2 linked regions of the Mus musculus genome follow. The protein of the gene in region 2 purifies or fractionates together with the protein of the main gene of each other region. This does not show direct contact. Links are inferred from orthologs where the notes say so. Each region holds a gene or a part of one and is shown on either strand. Other genes may lie near its edges.

The links. Proteins that work in one complex are often made in the same cells at the same time.
Region 1: the proteins of Cxcr4 (region 2) and Itch purify together in Homo sapiens (affinity purification with western blotting; 5 studies listed by BioGRID and IntAct, with this or other methods). This does not show direct contact. The link is inferred for Mus musculus from reciprocal best matches to the Homo sapiens genes CXCR4 and ITCH.

The regions. Positions count from the first base shown.
Region 1 is NC_000068.7:155,131,026-155,137,293, reverse strand, and holds the start of Itch (E3 ubiquitin-protein ligase Itchy), read right to left. Parts: upstream 3,814-6,268; 5' UTR 3,709-3,813; intron 1-3,708. UniProt on the Homo sapiens protein: Acts as an Acts as an E3 ubiquitin-protein ligase which accepts ubiquitin from an E2 ubiquitin-conjugating enzyme in the form of a thioester and then directly transfers the ubiquitin to targeted substrates.
Region 2 is NC_000067.6:128,588,641-128,594,723, reverse strand, and holds the start of Cxcr4 (C-X-C chemokine receptor type 4), read left to right. Parts: upstream 1-2,424; 5' UTR 2,425-2,514; coding exon 2,515-2,535; intron 2,536-3,998; exon of another isoform or gene 3,999-4,013; coding exon of another isoform or gene 4,014-4,025; intron 4,026-4,822; coding exon 4,823-5,881; 3' UTR 5,882-6,083.

The DNA of each region.
Region 1 (6,268 bases), on a different chromosome or scaffold from region 2:
ATACAGAATTGTAACGTTCGGTTCTAGTCTAGCTCTGACTCTTACCTAGGTTTAGGTAAAATTCTACTTTTTCTCTTCTCCTTCTCCTTCCTTCTTCTCCTTTAGAAACAAGATCTCATTGTGTGTATCTGGCTGGCCTGGAACTAACTATCTATCTATCTATCTATCTATCTATCTATCTATCTATCTATCTATCTATCTATGTAAGCCAGGCAGATGGATCTCTGTGAATTCAAAACCAGCCCGGTTTGTATACTGAGACCCTGTCGTCAAAAACAAAAACAGAAAGCTAAGAGATTGGGCCAGTGTAAGAATAGTATAAGTCGTATATATGTGTATACGTGGCATGTGCATGCACACACACACACACACTGCCTACTAGATAACTGTTCACTAGAGATACCACATCAGTCATAACGTACTTCCCCAGTGAACTAACATAATCAGAACCAACTTTTGGGGAGGGGGACAGGGTCCTCACATTGAAGCAGACTGGCCTGGAGTTCGCTATGTAGTCCAGGCTGTCAATCCTTCTGACTCAGATTCCTGAGTGCTGGGATTAGAGGCACAAGCCACAATGGCCAGAATCCTCACTAACAGTACTTCCAGAAGTTATTTCCAATCAAAGCTGACCTACAACCTAAAACATACTTGCTACTGTAAAACAGACAGTCTCTTCCAAATATAAAGCTCAAGCACCAAGTCTCTGTGACTGGAAAACACATTGACAAAGCATGGCTTGATGTGCTGATAATAATCAATTATAGTCCAAAACTCAAGTTCTCTTCCAAATTGCATCTAATCTGATTCTAATTTCTCAAAGATGCTAATGAACACATCCTAAGAGAAAAGGTAGCCTTCAATCAGACTAGCCCTAAAACAGACACAGCAACTTTATTATTTCAGCCAAATGAAACACCCAGCCAAGGCCAGCCTGTCACTTACAAGGGACACTTCTGCCACAGTCACTCTGGCCCTTTCACTTTTATCATCAGAGCCATTTTTTTTTTAAATAAACACCAACTTAGACCACTTCCTTTCCCCAAGCCTTGATCTCTCACGACATCAAATTCACGAGCATTAGCACTGTACGCAGAGCTTTTCCAGAACAGGTCCTTTTGCCCTCCTGGTCCTGAGGCCCCTGCATCCCACACCCTGCGCTCCTTTTCTCCCACCTTCCTAACTGACACACGCCTCGAGGTAGTAAGGTATTTCCTTCCCTTTCTTCACCTCTGCCCCATTCCTACTCATCCTCTAACCCACTGCTTCTCAACCCTCCTAAGGCTGTGACCCTTTAATACAGTTCCTCATGCTGTACAGTCCCTCATGGGGCTTACCAGCTCCAACCATAACATTATTTTTTGCTGCTTCTTCATAATTGTAATTTTGCTACTGTTATGAATTACAATGTAAATATTTTTGGAGCTAGAGGCTTGCCAAAGGGGCCAAAACCCAGCTTGAGAACCACTGCTCTAGAACCTCGGGTCCATAGACTAACCCTTTTTTGAGCCAGGACCCACTAGGTAGCTGTGATGGCCTGGAACTAACCATGTTGACCTTCATACATAGGTCTTGCCACTTCCCTCAACAATCCCACACAGGCCACTTCCACTTCCTCCCCCATCTCAAAGCTTTTTGTGCTGTCTTTGTTATAACCATACTATGATTTGCCTCAGTGTTCCCAAAACCATCCCAACTACCTACAGCCCATCTGTAAGTAAAGTTATAGAAGCCAATCCAGACCCACTATTCTATCTCAAAACTGAGACCTGAGAGCATCTACTTTTTTAAAAAGGGTCTCAAGTACTTCAGGCGGCCTCACCTCCCAATGCTTCTGAGAGCTAAATAAACTTGGGCCTTGTGTGTGGTAAACAAGCACTCTACCAACTGAGCTGAAAACTCTACTTTCAAAAATCTCTCCTGGTCCAGCAAAATAGCTCAGCAAGGAAAGTCACTTGCTATGCAAGCCTGATGACCTGAGTGTGAACCCTAGAACACACAGGAAAGAGGAAACACTCTTGACTTCCAACTCAAGTCATGGTGTGCGCATGCACACATACACACACACAAATAAACAAATCTCAAAACTTCTCCCGAGCCCACTCTGTTGGTTAAGCACCTATAATCCCAGCACTTGGGAGGGAGAGGCAGGAAGACAGAATGACGTTTGATGCCAGCCTAGGTTTACACACAGTGTGTTCTAGTCCAGTCAGCGATACAGAGCAAATCATGTCTCAAAACAAAAACAAAAAAATTAAAAGCTCTTGTAATTACACTAATGGCCAAACCTTGGGACCATGGATCAGTCTGTCTCTTAAGTAAATCTTTGTTGTTGTTTTGTTTGTTTGTTTGTTTGTTTTAAAGAATGTAGAATTTACTCTAGAATACAGTAAAAAGTATTAGGCACTTGCTTTTGGATTCATAGTATATATATCCTTGTTGACATCTGAAGTTTGAATTCCTGAACTCACACATACAAAGTATATTCACTGTTCAAAAGAAAATTTCAATCTTTTTTAAACCTGCAAAATTAAGCCTTAGGTAACCCTGTGATACACAAGGCTGAATCTCAAACTTGCCCCCAAAAGACTTTATTTCAGATGAGAACCAAGCCCTCTGCCAATCCTGGGAGTGAACATACACAGCCTTTACCTACTTTCTTAAGATAAGGATACAGGAGAACCACCCACTTAAGAGAATGATGATGGGTGGCTAGATGGTGTTCTGTCAACTGTGAAGAAGAAAACCTCCCTCTTCTCCCCACTGCCCCCTTTAGAACAAGTTCACTGCAGCTTAAAGAGGAACAGAAGTCTCAACAGGATTAGGATTCTAACACAGCCAAGAAAACAAGCGAGTGGGGAACTGTGAATTTGGGGTACTTTGCAAGTCACCTGGTCACATCTCTAACTTTAGGCCCAATGCCTACTTCGGGTGCACTGACCCTTATATATTTTTTTTCTCTCTTGAAGTTGCAGCCGGGAACTATGTCTCAAAACTCAAGTCTTCTATTTAAAAGTCCTGCCCTCATTGGGCTTCCACCTTTCAAATGCGCTCACCTCTACTTTTTTCTTTGCTCAAGAAAAGTACGCTCTCGGTAGAAAGGGCTGTGACAGCTCCACGTCTGCAAAAGTCGGTGGCGCCGGCCTGGGCCGGGACCACCATGAGTGGGGACAATGGAGGGAGGAGGGAAGTACAAGACAGAAGGGGAAGCAGTCACTGGGGAAGGTCCTCTGCGAGTGGGAGCTTGGAAAAGTCTCGGGGGGAGCCTGCCAGGTGGCAGGTGGGCCCGGCCGCCGCCCCTCAAAGGGCCACGTCGCGCGGGCGGGCCGCTGCCACCGGGCCCCGCGCGTAGGCCGGGCCGCGGGAGAGGAACCCCCGGGCGCGGCAGCGGGGCGCGGGGCTGGACCCTGCCCACGTCCGCCGCGGCTCGGCTCTCTCCCAACTTGGGGCTCGCGGGCCTACAGGCTCCGGACGCCTAGGCCAAGCACTAGCAGTTCGGCTCGACCTGCTGACCCACCCGCCACTCGGCTCGGGCCACCAGCCGGCTCTCCGGGCGCCCCCCACGGACACCGGCTGCGGGAAGAGCAGCCCCGGCTCTAGGTCCAGACTCGAGCGCCACACTCCTCTACCCTTCGCATTCCCCATGCCTTTTCATCCAAACTCCCTCCAAGCCACAGAAATGACCCCAGTCTGCCTGCGCGTGTTTACCGGGACTCGGGGCGGCGACGACTCCTCAGTCCCTCCGCTAAGATGGCAGCCGGTCCCGAGCCCCGACTACAGCGACTAGAGCTACTTCACACCTAGTGCGCAGGCGCGGCCTCCTCGGCGCAGTCCGGACTACAGGCCCCAGCAGGCCTTGCGCGCCAGCCTCCTAAATCATTTTTCCTCACCTCCAGGTGAAGTGGACACTAAGCCTTGCTCTCTACATCTCCAAGGCTTTTTTCTTTTCTTCCTTCCTTTCTCCTTTCCTTTCTCCCTTCTTTCCTTTCTTCTTTCGTTCCTTCCTTTTGACCCCTTCTTCCCCGCCAGGACCTCTAAAGACTGTTACCAAATGCTAGCGTGTCTCAGAATCACTTGAACAGCTTTTAAAAACAGACTGCTGAGCTCCACCGCCAGTTTCTGACTCAGTAGATCTGGGATGGAATAGGGGTTGCTTTATAATCTGCATTTTTATCAAGTTCTCTCCTGATACTCCTAACAGCAGGAATCACAATTTATGAAGCACTGTGCCGGTTCTATCCTTCTGGAGTTACACTGTTTGGGTTCAAATTCTCCTTTCTCCACCTTTTGACAGGAAGTTCTTAGGAGGGTGACAGCTTGACAGCGCCAAGGCGGCATGAGTTATAAAAACTGAAAAGCATACTTCTAAACGTTTACAACAAAACTATGTGAAAGATGCCATTGGTTACCTTTTCAGATGCTTAAATTAAACTTCTTAACCCAGGCAAAACACATCTAATCCTACCGAATTAATAGGCTGTGCAGTGGTAATAATAGAGGCACGTGATAATTAGCAAACTTTGCTATTATTGTTTATCCTGTTTCCTCGTAAGGAAACTATCTAGAAAGTCACTTAAACTTTTCGAAATACCTTTGAAACTACCATATTATGAATTATGTGCTGAGTTTATTAAACAAAAAAGATTCTGAGTTGGGAGGATGGTTCAGTGGGTAAAGGCTCTTGCCATGCAAGCACAAGGATGTTTGAAACCCCAGCATTCATATAAAAGCTGGCACCAACGGACCCCTAACAGTGGTGGGCAGACATAGGAGCTCCCTAGTCAACGCCCTAGACCACACAGCAAGCTTCAGGTTCCATTAGAAGACAGAGACAAATGGATCTCTGTGGGTTCAAGGCTAGCCATGTCCAAATATCTTGAGAGTTCTAGACCAACCGAGGTTACGTGGTGAAACCCTGGGTTTGGGTTTTTGGGATTTTGTTTTTGTTTTTTAGTTTTGGTTTGGTGTGTTTAAGTATTTAAAAGTTCTTCTGCACTTCCAGCCAATGTTTGCCACATTAGGGATTAAGCTGTAAGAGTTGGCTCAAGATGTAACTCACTAGTAGATACTTACATAGCATTGATGAGGCCCAAGATTTTATCCCCAATATTGAGAGAGTGGTGTGCTCTAGGAGAATCTGGGTTGGTTTCTTGTTTCGTTTTGTTTTGTTTTTTAAACTAGCATCCCAGATGATTCTTGTCACTGGGCATACTATAAGATATTTTAACAAATATTATAAATATATTTTGTTACTTTATTATTTTGTACAGAAAACAACTGAATATAAAGGAAATTATTAATTGGCCCAAGATCACTAACACAGAAACCAAGGTTCCAAGCCAAGTCATCTAGTTCCAGATAATCTTTATCTACAGTTTTTTCTTTATTTAGGGGACAAATTCTCACTAACTAACTCAGACTGGCCTCATGCTCAGGATGCTTCACGCTCAACCTTCCCAGTAATGAGATTACAAGCATGAATTACCACACTCAGCTTGCCTACATGGGTTTTGCATTTCTATTTTATTTATTTTTATAAGTGTGGAGGTCAGAGGACAACTTCTAGGAACTGGTTCTCGGCTCCCACTGTGGGATCCAGGTATCAGGCAGGGGTGGAACCCAAGTAGTCAGGTTTGTAGATTGGTTGGCCAAGCCCCATAATTTAAAACTTCTCCTTTTTTGGGTTTGTTTTGGTTTTGGTTTTTTTGAGACAGGGTTTCTCTGTGAAGCCCTGGATGTCCTGGAACTCACTTTATAGACCAGGCTGGCCTCTCGAATTCAGAAATCCGCCTGTTTCTACCTCCCAAGTGCTGGCACTAAAGGCGTGCGCCACCACTGCCCAGCTCAATTGAAAACTTCTATGATAGTAGGTAAAACTAACGTGATGAAAGTTAAAAGCTATACTCCAAACTTCTCCCAAGAAAATCTTTTTAAAAAATTATTGTTCTGGGGATTTAATGTTGGATTTGTATATACTATACATGTGCTATGTCCCTAAGATGGACCTAACCCCTAGAAGTTTAGAAAGTTCTAGATGAAGCCAAGAATGGGCATTTTCCCAGTGATGCTGACACCCAGGAATCACATTTTGTGACCTACTGAACTATATACTGCCTTAGCCTTCTGCCAGTGTCAATGGGGGAATCATCTCTGACCTGCAAGGCAGGAACTAGCAAGAATTAACAATGTGGACTTCAGAGAAATATGGATTTTTAAAATTCAGTCCTTCTCCCAACAACTCACTGTTACTGAACCAATGTCCAACTGC
Region 2 (6,083 bases):
CTTAGGGCTACTCAGCTATTACTAACTATTCTATTATTAACACTATTGTCAGCAGCAGCCCCGTGAAGAGCTTTGTAGCATGACTGCAGTTTCCTGGGGCTACATCATGAAAGGTAGAATTACTAATCTCAAAAGGTTCTGGCTGCATACAAAATACTTTTCACTGAAGCTGTTCAAACACCACACACACACACACACACACACACACACACACACACACTCCTGCTACTGACAAGCGAGAGACAGCTGGTCTTTTCCAATCCAGAAGCCAAATATTATCTTTGAAAGGGGGAAAAAATCCCTCTCTTTTTTTTTCTCTAATTCTATAGTCACCAAATAGCATGTCATTGTTGTTTTATCTGCTTTCCTCCAGCAAAGAGACTTCACAGGAGCTAAAGAGACCTGTGCAGAAGCTTTCTTTTGTCCACCAATAATCAACAAATATTAATTATGCAAATCATTTTACTCAGATTGTACTCTCTGTCGTTCAGGGACAGGTTCGCAAGATTCCCTTTCTCCCATTTTAGCCTTTGGGAATGCAGGAATTTGGAGGCTAGACACAGCTCACCATCCTGCTGCTACCGATCTTGAACACCAGCGCTCTTTTAATGGGTCTGATATTCCGGTCCACGGGCTCTTCTGTCTGTCCTAACTAGTTTATGGAAATATGAGCCTATGTTTTAGTAATGATTGGATATAATTAAAAGTGCTTGTGGAAGTTCTTGGCTTTTAACTTAGCAGTTTTTGAGGGTCGCACTTCCTAATTTCATCCTTAGCTTTTCTGGATCACATAAGTGCAGGGCAGAAGAGGACTTTGACAGCACATTTTGAAGGAGAGTGCCCAGGCCATACAGGAAGATGGAGAGAGACGAGTTCCCAGGCTGTAAAACAGCTCCCCAGCACTTCCAACCGAAAGCCTTCCTTAGCTAAAGAAGGAGGTGCAAATGATAGTACAGTTAGTAGACTGCTTGCCTAGCCTACACAAAGCTCTGATTTAAGCCCTATCAGCACGAAAATTGGGCGTGGTGGCACACAACTGTAATCCCAGTACTAGGCAGGTGACAAACGGGATCATCAGAAATTCATGGTCATCCTTAACTACATACGGAGCCTGAGTCCAGCCTGTACTACATAAAACTGCCTCAAACAAAACAAACAAACAAACAAACAAACAAACAAAAAAGGAACGGGAGAAGTGGGGCGGGGATGGAGTTGAGGGCGCAGTCTGGGCCTGCCTATCCTTTGGTCCATTCCAGGAGGGGGTGGGGGCGGTATCTGGGTTGCATAGCAACCCAGGCTCCTGCTGCCGGATGTCTCACCACCCCCAGTGCCCCCGGCATTGGATCCCGCGGTCTCTGGCTGGAGGTCTGGTTGGTTCTGACCCCACCCTTTTCTCCCTCCCCGCCTAGCCCAGGCTCGGCGCCGGTCGGATCCCGCGCGAGCCTGGGAAGCAGTCTGGGCGCCCACTGCAACCTTAGCCTGTCTGAGATTCCCTAGCCATCCACGCCCCCAACCTGACCTAACTAGCTCTTCACTAAGACTTCCCATCTTAGTGTTCTGCGTGGGAGACGCGAGATAGGCATGAAGCGAAAGCTCTGGGCTCAGGCCAGGCTTTGCAGTCCCAGGCTGCTCCATTTGGTCTCTTGGAGCTCGTGGAGCGCCCACTGACTGCGCATGAATCGCGGCTAGCTTCCCAGCTGGGACTCTGTAATTATCTGTTAACTAGATGCATCCCCCTATGTGCTTATGAAATGAAAATGAACCAGTGTTTCTGTGCGGATTTCTTAGGATGTGATTACACAAAGTCCTCGCCGCTCAATTCTTTATAATAAAGCACATTTCAATCATTTTACATACACACACACCCAAATCTCTTCACGAAATTGTTGCCACTATTGTGACTTTCTTCCTGGGAGTATATCTGCTTCTGGATGGGTCCGCAAGTGCTTTCTGCCACACCTGACCCTAATGTCATTATATGAATATGTAGTAACACACACTTGCTTGGAAGAGTTTTGGTAGTAATCACTCCTGACAGCTCAGAGTATAGAACCCTGGCGGAGGTTCCAACATTGCCGCCTACTGGTTAGGCAGGCTCCAAGTCACACACCCCCATCCCCAGTCTTGTCTCAAGTTCTCCACCCGTAAACTCCAGGTCTAAAATTCTATCCACGTGGGTAAGGATGGATGCGCGACCCGCAGAAACACCCTGGCTGGCATCCTGCTTTCCCCAACTCTGAGAACATTATCCGGCCAGGCTCTGGACCCATACTGACTTAAAACACAACAGCAGTGGCTCTTGGACTTCTGTTTGCCCGCGCCCTGCGCCCCGCCCCCGCCAGTCTCCTCCCGCCCCGTCCGAGCTGCGCATGCGCCGCCCCGGGAGCGTGTTTTTATAAAAGTCCGGTTCGGGCCAGAAACTTCAATTTTGTTGCCTGGTGCAGCAGGTAGCAGTGAAACCTCTGAGGCGTTTGGTGCTCCGGTAACCACCACGGCTGTAGAGCGAGTGTTGCCATGGAACCGATCAGTGTGAGTGTAAGTCCACTTGCATCCTACTTTATAGTAAACGTGCAAACGTGTGAACTTAGAGCTCAGCCCCTTTAAGGAGCGGGTTGAAGCAACTAAAACCTTGAGGGGTGTCAGGGTCACAAGGAGGAGCGGGAACTAATTTTTTTTTATGTGTGTGAACATGGCTATAGGGGGAGGAAGATAGGAATATTTTTGCCAGTAAGTTGAGTGGGACGGGTTCAGATGGAGCTTTCCTAAGGTTGCTCTTGTTTCCCTCCCCCTTGAGTCCCGCGGCGCGCGCCGACTTGCACGCTGTTTGCAAACGTCCCAGTTTTTTGAAAAAGGGAGAAGGGCTTGCCCTCTGTCCCAAGACTCAGACCATCGTCTGGTCCTCCTGAAAACAGGAGTTTTCTTAGAGTTTCTTACATTGTGTGAATTTAGAGACTTTAGTCGGCACGCGTAGGCACTACATTCTGGGTGAGCTTCGAACCGGAGCGTCTTGGAGCGGTTCTTGGAGTTAGGAGTGCGGTTCTGAAATTCCATAGTGCAGACAGAGGAGCGCCCGTCTTCGGCGGGAAAAGTGAGCTAGTCTGCCGCGTCGCTTGCCTAGAGGGGGGGCACAAACTGCGGCAGCCGCGGAGAGAACGTCGCTTTGGGATGGAGCAGCAGCGCTTTGCGGGCATCCGACCCGCCACTTCCCCGCAGTGGCAAACGAACCTCCCGAGGTCGGGCTTGCCTTTAGGATCGTTCCTGAGAAAGGGTCATAAGTCTGTACCATGATGCTGCTGGCCATGACGGCGGTTGGGGACAGGAGGGCATGTTGGGACCGCACCTGGGTTGTGCCGGGTCGCCGGAGGGATGAACAGGTGCAAGCTCGGAGACTGTTTGACTGAGCCCCAGTGTTTAACCGTCGGTGGTTTCCTGAGCCTTTTGAAACCCCCTCGCTTAGGGAGGGTTTTGTTCTTTGGTGATTTTTTTTTTTTTTTCCGTTTCCTCCGGCGGCGCGCAATTCAAAGGCGCTCGCGCTGGAGCAGCCCAATCTGTCGCTCGCACCCGGAGGAACGATCCTGGCGCGCAGCCAGGAGGAACCCCTAGAACCGCTGTGTGTTGGTCGTAGACCTGGGTATGATGGGCAACGGTGCCAGCCCCTAGGTGGGTGACTCGGACATCGGGGTGCGCACGGTCTGGACCACTCCTGCTGCCTACCTCGGACTCCAGTAACTAACTGGGTCCGCTGCAGGATGGGAAGCGACCGGAAAGTGAGGAAGTGAAACTTGGGGGCGAAAACCACGGGGTACAGACCCCGTGACTTTCCCCACCCAGGACAGTGTGACTCTAACGTCCCAGATCCACCCAGTGATAAACATGGGTTTGGCAAGAGAGACCCACCTTCCAGAGAAGCGCCGCACGGGGTGAAGTAGGGGAGTGCTATTTGCTCCTTTCTAACACTCTGCTGACCCTAAACCCCCAAAGACCTTCACATTATCCAGCTTTCTTCACTACGCATGACTCGAAATGTAATAGTTTGTGTTAGACAGACGTGAGAAAAACAAGGTTTTGCGCCTAAAAAGCTAAGAGTCTTTGGGGGACCCCCACCGTCAAGCTCCGTCTTTCTTTCTTTCTTTCTTTCTTTCTTTCTTTCTTTCTTTCTTTCTTTCTTTCTTTCTTTCTTTCTTTCTTTCTTTCTTTCTTTCTCTCTCTCTCTCTCTCTCTCTCTCTCTCTCTCTCTCTCTCTTTCTTTCTTTCTTTCTTTCTTTCCTTCCTCCTTTGGCTAATCCTCATACAGAAATCCCATCTCCTTCAACACAGACTTTAACCCCACGCCGCTGGATACCACCGCACACAGTTTTGAGAGTGACTTCTTTGTTTGAATGGAGGATTTGTTTGTTTGGTTTGGTTGTGGGTTTTTTTGGCTTGGGTTTTTGTTTGTTTGTTTGTGGTTGGGGGGGGCTTTACTTTTTTTCCTCCGAGGTTTTTTTTTTGTCCTTTCCTCTCGTGGGCGGGGCAGGAGAGCTATTCAAGACTAAGCTGTGAAGTCCTTAGACTCTCAATGTCCTTTTGTTCTAAGCAAAGACTCTCCTAATTGGTTCCACTAAAGAGGGCATATAACAAGTGACTGGTGGAAGATGGAGAACACCATTGGTTGCAGGATTCTGTGTTCTCTCTGGACCTTAACCAGCCCTTTGGAGTTTCCTGGGAAAGGTTGTGTTAAAACCTGCAATCAATACTAGCTTTTTAGGCAACAGAAACACTTAAAAATTGGGAAGGCTTGCTGACCTTGAAGTGACGTTGTCTGTCCCTGTTTCCTTTGCAGATATACACTTCTGATAACTACTCTGAAGAAGTGGGTTCTGGAGACTATGACTCCAACAAGGAACCCTGCTTCCGGGATGAAAACGTCCATTTCAATAGGATCTTCCTGCCCACCATCTACTTCATCATCTTCTTGACTGGCATAGTCGGCAATGGATTGGTGATCCTGGTCATGGGTTACCAGAAGAAGCTAAGGAGCATGACGGACAAGTACCGGCTGCACCTGTCAGTGGCTGACCTCCTCTTTGTCATCACACTCCCCTTCTGGGCAGTTGATGCCATGGCTGACTGGTACTTTGGGAAATTTTTGTGTAAGGCTGTCCATATCATCTACACTGTCAACCTCTACAGCAGCGTTCTCATCCTGGCCTTCATCAGCCTGGACCGGTACCTCGCTATTGTCCACGCCACCAACAGTCAGAGGCCAAGGAAACTGCTGGCTGAAAAGGCAGTCTATGTGGGCGTCTGGATCCCAGCCCTCCTCCTGACTATACCTGACTTCATCTTTGCCGACGTCAGCCAGGGGGACATCAGTCAGGGGGATGACAGGTACATCTGTGACCGCCTTTACCCCGATAGCCTGTGGATGGTGGTGTTTCAATTCCAGCATATAATGGTGGGTCTCGTCCTGCCCGGCATCGTCATCCTCTCCTGTTACTGCATCATCATCTCTAAGCTGTCACACTCCAAGGGCCACCAGAAGCGCAAGGCCCTCAAGACGACAGTCATCCTCATCCTAGCTTTCTTTGCCTGCTGGCTGCCATATTATGTGGGGATCAGCATCGACTCCTTCATCCTTTTGGGGGTCATCAAGCAAGGATGTGACTTCGAGAGCATCGTGCACAAGTGGATCTCCATCACAGAGGCCCTCGCCTTCTTCCACTGTTGCCTGAACCCCATCCTCTATGCCTTCCTCGGGGCCAAGTTCAAAAGCTCTGCCCAGCATGCACTCAACTCCATGAGCAGAGGCTCCAGCCTCAAGATCCTTTCCAAAGGAAAGCGGGGTGGACACTCTTCCGTCTCCACGGAGTCAGAATCCTCCAGTTTTCACTCCAGCTAACACTTATGCAAAGACATATATAATATATATATATATATATATGATAAAGAACTTTTTTATGTTACACATTTTCCAGATATAAGAGACTGACCAGTCTTGTACAGTTTTTTTTTTTTATTGACTGTTGGGAGTTTATGTTCCTCTAGTTTTTGTGAGGTTTGACTTAATTTATATAAATACTTTTTTTTGTTTGTTTGTTTCA